Macaca fascicularis: one gene and its partner. The protein of the gene in region 2 purifies or fractionates together with the protein of the main gene of each other region. This does not show direct contact. Links are inferred from orthologs where the notes say so. Each region holds a gene or a part of one and is shown on either strand. Other genes may lie near its edges.

The links.
Region 1: the proteins of PHB1 (region 2) and STOML2 purify together in Homo sapiens (affinity purification with western blotting; 3 studies listed by BioGRID, with this or other methods). This does not show direct contact. The link is inferred for Macaca fascicularis from reciprocal best matches to the Homo sapiens genes PHB1 and STOML2.

The regions. Positions count from the first base shown.
Region 1 is NC_088389.1:64,326,169-64,330,470, reverse strand, and holds the start of STOML2 (stomatin-like protein 2, mitochondrial), read right to left. Parts: upstream 2,870-4,302; 5' UTR 2,833-2,869; coding exon 2,788-2,832; intron 2,558-2,787; coding exon 2,420-2,557; intron 1,928-2,419; coding exon 1,828-1,927; intron 1,696-1,827; coding exon 1,637-1,695; intron 1,545-1,636; coding exon 1,443-1,544; intron 1,294-1,442; coding exon 1,159-1,293; intron 1,013-1,158; coding exon 868-1,012; intron 746-867; coding exon 666-745; intron 459-665; coding exon 330-458; intron 1-329. UniProt on the Homo sapiens protein: Mitochondrial protein that probably regulates the biogenesis and the activity of mitochondria.
Region 2 is NC_088390.1:57,300,800-57,304,388, reverse strand, and holds part of PHB1 (prohibitin 1), read right to left. Parts: intron 3,539-3,589; coding exon 3,377-3,538; intron 1,180-3,376; coding exon 1,037-1,179; intron 866-1,036; coding exon 749-865; intron 1-748.

The DNA of each region.
Region 1 (4,302 bases), on a different chromosome or scaffold from region 2:
GTGAATTAGTTTTCCTTTCTCCCTCTCTCAAACCTGTCTTGTAAGCTCTGGGGTTGATTTTAGGAATCTTACAAACCATCAGAGTAAAGTGACTCTCAGAATACCAGCACAGGTATCTACCAAAAAAAGGTATCTCAAGAACTTCCATATTTGCAGGACTGAGTGGAGATGTTTCATTCTTAGATTCCATCTCTACAAAGAATGAAGGGATGTCTAGGGCCAAGGCATTCTGAAGACCTTTATGGTATCTAAGTGTTGATGACGGTGGTGGGGTCTCAGTTCGGTCCCTGGCACAGGTGCTCTGTGCTGGGTCCTCAGAGAGCTCTAACCTGAGCCACCATGCTGGTGACATCGCCGGGATTGGAGGGCAGTAGGATAGTGTTGGAGTCCTTGGCCAGTTTGGAGAACGCGCTGACATACTGCTCGGCCACAGTCAGTGAAGCTGCTGCATCTCCATTCTGTGACCACAGGGGGATAAAAATCAGAGATTATAGATACGGAGAAGAAGGGGTGGATGGGGAATGAAGAAAGCAGTTCACAATAAAAAGGACTATGTAATCTGGTTCAACAGAGCCCACAGAGGCAGGAACTCTCCTTAAGCATAGATAAGAGAACCCCTTCCACTGTCAATTCCTGTCCCCCATTCCCACCCAGGGGCCTCTCACATGTTGTGTCAGAGCTGCAGCCAGGATTCGAATAGCTTCAGCTTTAGCCTTGGCCTTGGCTAGAACTGCACTGGCCTCTCCTGCAAGAGAAGGGACAGAGCTTGCTTGACCCATGAAGTCAAAGTACCCAAAGATTCTGCCCCAGCACCAATCTTCAAAGGCCCATGCCTTGCTCCTCCCTCAGCCTCTACCCTCTCCTGACCTGCTGCCTGATTTATCTGTTCAGCCTTTTCTGCTTCGGAGGCCAGGATCTGGGCCTGTTTCTTCCCCTCTGCCACATTGATGGCCGACTCTCGGGTCCCCTCAGACTCTAGAACTGTGGCCCGTTTCCGCCGCTCTGCCTCCACCTGGAAGCCCGCAACAATCCCAATCAACAAGCCAAGGGAAAGTTATACAGACCTGCAACTCTACCCATCATAACAGGAGGGAAGTCTGGATCCTCCTGGGACTGGAGCACCCTGAGGTCCTTTTCCTACCCCTCCTTGGCTCCCACCTGCATCTGCATAGACTCTTTCACCCGGGGTGGCACATGGATATCCTTGATCTCATAACGGAGGCAGCGGATACCCCAGCAGTCAGCAGCTTGGTTGATAGCATCCACAATGCTGGCATTCAGGGACTCCCGTTCCTGGAAAAAGAGAGGCATAAGCCCCACAGCTTCAACTTACCTATCAAGGGCCTACACTGAGAAGGGCCTGGGACTGATCTTGACCTTCAGAAAAGATTGAGTGTCAGGTTTGTGTCTTCAAACCCTAACTCTGGCTCAGATCTGCTTACCCGGAAGACTTTGTCCAGAGAGAGTTTGCCGAGCTCTGATCTCATGGTTGTTTGAGCTAGCTGGGTGACGGCATACTCAGGGTCCTCCACACCATAGCTTGCCTGAAACGGACACGGATAGTGTAAGAAGCTTGGGCACAAGATTTTAGTGAAGAGGGCAACTGAAAAGGCTAGATAAAGTAGGGGGCAGATACCTTGTAAGGGTCCATGATGCGCAGGTAAAGGACTCCATCAATTTGCAGAGTTACATTGTCTGTAGAACCAGGAGAGAAAAGGAGGAAAGTCAGGCCTCTAGGTCCCAACCAGTTCTCTCTCCTAAGCTGTGGATCTACAGCAACCACATCCTAATAGCCTCAGAGCACCCATGTCACCCTGAACCCCTCACCGAGAGTCACAGCCGACTGCTCAGGCACGTTGATGACAATTTCCTTGAGACTCTGCACATATCGGATCCGGTCTAACACAGGGATGAGGATGTTCAAACCCTGGGAAGAGGAGTCATGGGTCCTCAGAAGGATGGGAACTATTGGGTTGAGACCTAAGCTAGTCCTGGAGTATGTAGGGAGTCAACACATGGAACATGCCCAGAAAAGCAGCAGCTGCTACCAAGAAATAAGTCCTCATAAGGCTGAAGTGTCACTGGTAAGAAAACCCAAGAGAATAGGAATGCAAGACTAGGCCCCTGAATGGAAGGGAGGGTCATGAGAATCGGAGCTGGCAGAATAGCCATCTCAATGCAGACTGAGAGGTAGGGCTGAGAGAGTGGGCAGAGGAGATTCCCAAGAATGGGGACTGTGAGATGCATAGGAAAAGGTGGTAACATGGGGATGATGGTCAGCAGCCTCGGCCCTGTCAGGTCTGGCCTACAGAGTCGGGAGCTAACAGTGCGGGCAGGCCCAAAAGAGGTCCTCCCGACACTCCATGTCGTGAGGGATTGGTCATCTGGCTGGCCCAGGATGGGCAGAAGAGGTTCTCACAGGCTCCAGGATCCGGTGGAATCGGCCCATTCGCTCCACCACCCAGGCCTCCTGCTGCGGCACGAACAGTACCACGGTGTTTCGGGGCAATCCAGAGGAGGCGCGGCGCGGAGCGCGACCAGAAGCCTGCAGAGAGCCCTGAAAGAAAGAAGAGGGTGAGCAGAGATCCCATCTGGCCAAACACGCCGCCCCTCGGTCCTGAAGGTATCTCCATAAACCACGACCCTCAGGATCCTCGGAGAGAGAATCACATGGGGACCATGACCTCTGACCCCAGTCCTCTCCGAAAGTTGGAAGTTCGCTCTTTCCCAGCGGAGGACCCAGGTGATCTCTATCCCGACCCTCTGGATAGGTTGCCTCGCTCTCACCCTCAGCAAAAGGGCCCCAGTGCCCCGCGCCGCGCGCGCCAGCATTTCCCACCGCCGCAGCGACCTCCGGAACCAACGAGACGAGCGGAGCGGTAGCTCCCAGAAGCCTACCCGAGCCTTTCCTCTTGCAGTTCCGCTCCCCCGAATGTACTTCCGGCCGTTCCCTACTCCCTTCAACACTCACCCAATCAGCGTTACTTGGTCGAACGGCGCATCAAGTTGTTCCCTGGGAAACGCAGACCTTCAAGAGAAGGCCGAAGGCTGCCGTTGTTCTGGGTTTAGCTGTTCGCGACCAAGATCCCCGGCCTGATGGCCAAATTATTTTTCGCGTGCATATCACTCAGACACCACGCACTGAATTCTTCACCCTCACCCGAGACTCAGTTTGCCCACCAGAGCGTAGAATCGCGCCCATCCGTCACCATAGCGACGAGTGGATTGAGCTGACTCGTTGCCATGGTTGCCATAGTGACATTCTATAGTAGTCCCGCGGTGTTGTGCCCAGGACTCCCACTGGGGACTGACCCCAATCCCGTTGCCATGGAAACTGGGCCTAACATTGCCTGGCGATTGGGACGAGATTTTCCCCTCCCCTCTTTCCTCAAAGACACTACAGCTCCTTCCCTCTCTTTCCAAGCAAGGTTTGTTATGCCCGGTCTTAAATACCGAGTCCGGCAAACAGCCTCAACGTTCAACCTTGTCTGGAGCACGTCACCTTGCACACATCCCTGATGTTCTGGTAGTCAAGAGACCTCCGTAGTCACCTCCATTTTACATATGAGGGCACTGAAGTTCTGAAGGGCTAAAGTCATTAACAGAACCAGTATCAGAATCCTGATCTACAATTCAGAATTCAGCTTCTAGGACTCAACTTTACCCACCAACTCCTCCGAAAGGAGCAAGACCAGGCCCCAGGAATCAGCAGGGGCTAGCCTAAGACCTCATGGGCCCAGGCCTGTTGCCTCCTCTCTGGTAGAAAGGGCTGAGTCCCAGCTCCAGGAAGGCCCTCTATCCCCCTTCGCACCCTCTCCCCAACAACAACAACAACAAAAGTAGAGCTTAGTTCAAGTTTCCAAACAAGAATTTATTCTTTCTTTTTTAATCTTTTTTTTTTCTAAAAAAAAGTACCAGGTACAATTTTTTCCTGTTTCTGATTTGCTTTGTTTTTTCAAGTTTCAGCAAATGCTTGTTCCCCTCAGCCCAGCCTCAGGAGTCAGGACTGAGGCTGGGTCAGAGTCTGGAGTGGGGAATGGGGTAATTTGGAACCACATGACTGAGTTTGAGGGGTGCCCCTCACCCCAGCTGAGGTAGGTGGGTCAGAGTCTGGCCAGGTGAGTGGAGGCACCCCAGTGCTTGGCCCTGACTCTGCCCCCTGGACACCTTCTTCAGTCAGGACCCCAAAGCAAGGAGACACAGGCAGGAGGAGAGGGACAACTGGAGTCTGGAGCCCTAGGTGAGGGGTGGTTAACCCCTGTGTGTGTGCATACATGTACACTCTCTCACACACACACACCA
Region 2 (3,589 bases):
TGCCTTTCCCTAGCGATGCACGGGAGAACTGAACAGGAAGCACTTTACCTCACTGCCCGAACAAATCACTCCAAATGATTTTTCCCAGAGAATCTAGAAACACGACCCTTCCCCTCACCCTCCTCAACCTGAAACGCTATCCTGCCTGTATTGCTTTCTGTCTGAGTTATGACATCCAATGTCATATAAACACACAAGCTACAGTGTCTCAGGAGGATAGCTTACGCCTCAGAGATGTCCCTTGCCCCCTATACCAGGCCTGGGGGAATCGAACCATTCGTTTACACTCTATCACCTTTCACTAGGGTTCCCAGAACTTCCATCACTAAGCTTCGGACCGTAAGTGTTAGGAAACTCCCAGGGGTCAGGCTGGGAGGTCTGTGCTAGGGATAAAGACTACCCGAGCTGTTCTCTGGTCTCTACCAGACAGTTTCTGCCTGTGTCAAACAGGGTTAACAAGGCATCACTTTCTGGGTAACACAGTTTGGAGAACGTAAAACGTTTAGTGGTTAGGGACTATCTGGATACAACCAGAGGTCATAAGAAAAATGTGTGTGGCAGGGGGAAGGCAAAAGAACCCTCAACTGAAAAACCCACAGAGACTGCCTCGTCTCAACATGTTTCCGTGTTTTCAAGCCTCACATCTAGCAAAGCAGAAGCAGGGACCTAATAGCGTCTGCCCAGAAATGGAGCCAGGCACCTAACGAGACCTGCAGCCCCTTCCCCTCCGTCTCCCGAAGGATCTTACCAAGGACACGTCATCCAGGATGAGCCCAAAGGTGGCTGCTCGCTCTGTAAGATCGTCGCTCACCTGCCTGGAGACCAGCTCTCTCTGGGTGATTAGTTCTCCAGCATCAAAGCGAGCCTAGTTTCAAAGGGAGGAGCAGAAGGGCAGGTCAGGTTAATGAGGAAGCAGAAAAGGAACCAGGAAACTGCAGCCACATCCCAATCAACCCACTGCCAAGCGCTTCCTGCCACCTGGCACCCTTCTGGGGAGGTGCTCTGGGCTTGAGGCTAAGGGCCCCTGTTCACTCACCACCACTGACTTGAGGATCTCGGTCGTGATGGACGGCAGCACACGCTCATCATAGTCCTCTCCGATGCTGGTGAAGATGCGAGGAAGCTGGCTAGCGACGGGCCGGAAGAGGATGCGCAGTGTGATGTTGACATTCTGTAAATCTTAGGGTAGGGGACAAACACTGGAGTTAAAAATAAAAACCACTGTAGGAAAACAAGTGCTTTTTAAAAAATTTTTCCTTTTTTTGAGACGGAGTTTTGCTCTTGTTGCCCAGGCCGGAGTACAATGGGACGATCTCGGCTCACAGGAACCTCCACCTCAGGTTCAAGCGATTCTCCTGCCTCGGCCTCCCAAATAGCTGCGATTACAGGCACACGCCACCATGCCCAGCTAATTCTGTATTTTTAGTAGAGACGGGGTGTCACCATGTCAGGCTGGTGTCAAACTCCTGACCTCAGGTGATCCACCTGCTTCAGCCTCCCAAAGTGCTGGGATTAAAGGTGTGAGCTACCGCGCCTAGCCACAAGTGGTCTTTTATATGGCCTCTCCTACTCCAATTTGCTACAATTTTTATTTATGTATTTTGAGACAGGGTCACATGTTGCCCAGGCTGAAGTGCAGTGGCAAGATCAAGGCTCACTGTAGCCGCCTTGACCTCCTGGGCTCAACTGATCCTCCTACCTACACCTTCCAAGTAGTTGGGACTACACAGGCACATACCACCACACCCAGTAATCTTTGTACTTTTTGTAGAGCTGGAGTTTCGCCATGTTTCCCAGGCTGGTCTCAAACTCCTGGGCTCAAGTGATCCACCTGCCTCAGCCTCCCACAATGCTAGAATTATAGGTGTGAGCCATTATGCCTGGTAATTTTTATTTTTTATTTTTAGAGACAAGGTCTTGCTATGTGGCCCAGGCTAGACTCAAGTTCCTGGGCTTAAGCATTTCTCCTGCCTCAGCCTCTTGAGTAGCTGACACGCACCACTGTGCCTGGCTCCAAATTGGCTACAATTTATAAGCAAATCTGCTGATTATAAGATCCTAGAGGGCAAGGAATAGGTATGCCTGGTTTCCTTGGCAGAGAACCCAACAGAGCATCACAAAGAGTTTATAATTTCTTAGAACATTCAGTGATAGCAGCTTTTTGGTATCCCCTGAATGCCCTCAGATACACGTAATTCAGATTATATGTCTACCAGGCGCCATGTAACGCTTGCAACACTGAACATTTTAAGACAATAGACAGGCCAATGCTAAGAATTGTAGGGTGAGGCCTTTTCAAGCTCTGGTGATTGTGGCCAAGTCAGGAGTCAGCCTTGGAGAGGTTAGTTTGGGTCTGGTGGAAACCGTGTTAGACTAGTAGTCCAAAGATCTGGGCTATTTACTAATGATGTGGCCTCTCTAAGCCTTAGCCAACCTGAGCTTATTTCCTTGTCTATGAGAATGAGGACAACTTCATTTGCTTTCTGGGCCTTGAGGAAATGTTGGGGAAAACTGAAGGAAAAAACAGTCAAAAAGCACTCTGTCAAATGTGTAACACATATAAGGGGTTAATAGACCCATCTATGTTCTGCTTCTCATTACTTGGGCCAGTTAAAGGATCCAGGGAGAGAATTATACCTTCCCCTGGACAATTCAGGCCTGCAGGGAGCCAAAGCACTGTCATGGCTTGCTTACAGACGTCAACAATATGGACCAAGCGCCCATGAGACAGAGCCCTGAACTGTGCACCAAGAGAGGTGGGCAATGTATTAATACCGACAACTCCCTGATATCTAGAAGCGCCTATCAATAGTTTTAGAAATAGGTACATAATGTATCCTGAAAACAACTGCAAAACAGTACAGAAAGAAATCCCAAAGAGGTGGGAAGTTTAGAAGCAGGCTTTTTTTTTTTTTTTGAGACAGAATCTCACTCTGTTGCCCAGGCTGCAGTAAAGTGGCATGATCTCAGTTCACTGCAACCTCCGTTCCCCAGGTTCAAGCGATTCTCCTGCCTCAGCCTCCTGAGTAGCTGGGATTACAGGCACCCCCCACCACCGGCTAATTTTTGTATTTTTAGGTGAGACAGCGTTTCACCACATTGGCCAGGCTGGTCTCGAACTCCTGACCTCAGGTGCTCCACCTGCCTTGGCCTCCCAAAGTGCTGGGATTACAGGCATGAGCCACTGCAGCCAGCCATAAGTGGATATTTCTAAGATTCCATATTGAACTCTCCAGGGCAAGTAGTCCAGTCATTCCTGTGATGTACAGTCCAAACTCTTTTGGATCCTGGTATCCCACAGATGCTCCGGCAACACAAAAGAGCAGAGCACCTCTTCCACACTCCCTACTTTACCTGAACCACAGGCAAGACTCACCTTTGCTACCAGTGATGACCGGCACATTACGTGGTCGAGAACGGCAGTCAAAGATAATTGGTTTCTGTACCCATGGGATGAGAAAGTGAGTCCCTTCCCCTACCACAATGTCCTGTACTCCACGGAACCGGTCAAAGATGACAGCTCTGTGCCCAGCATCCACTAGGAAGAAAGGATAATGACATGTCATAAAAATCTTCTCATCCTTTAAAC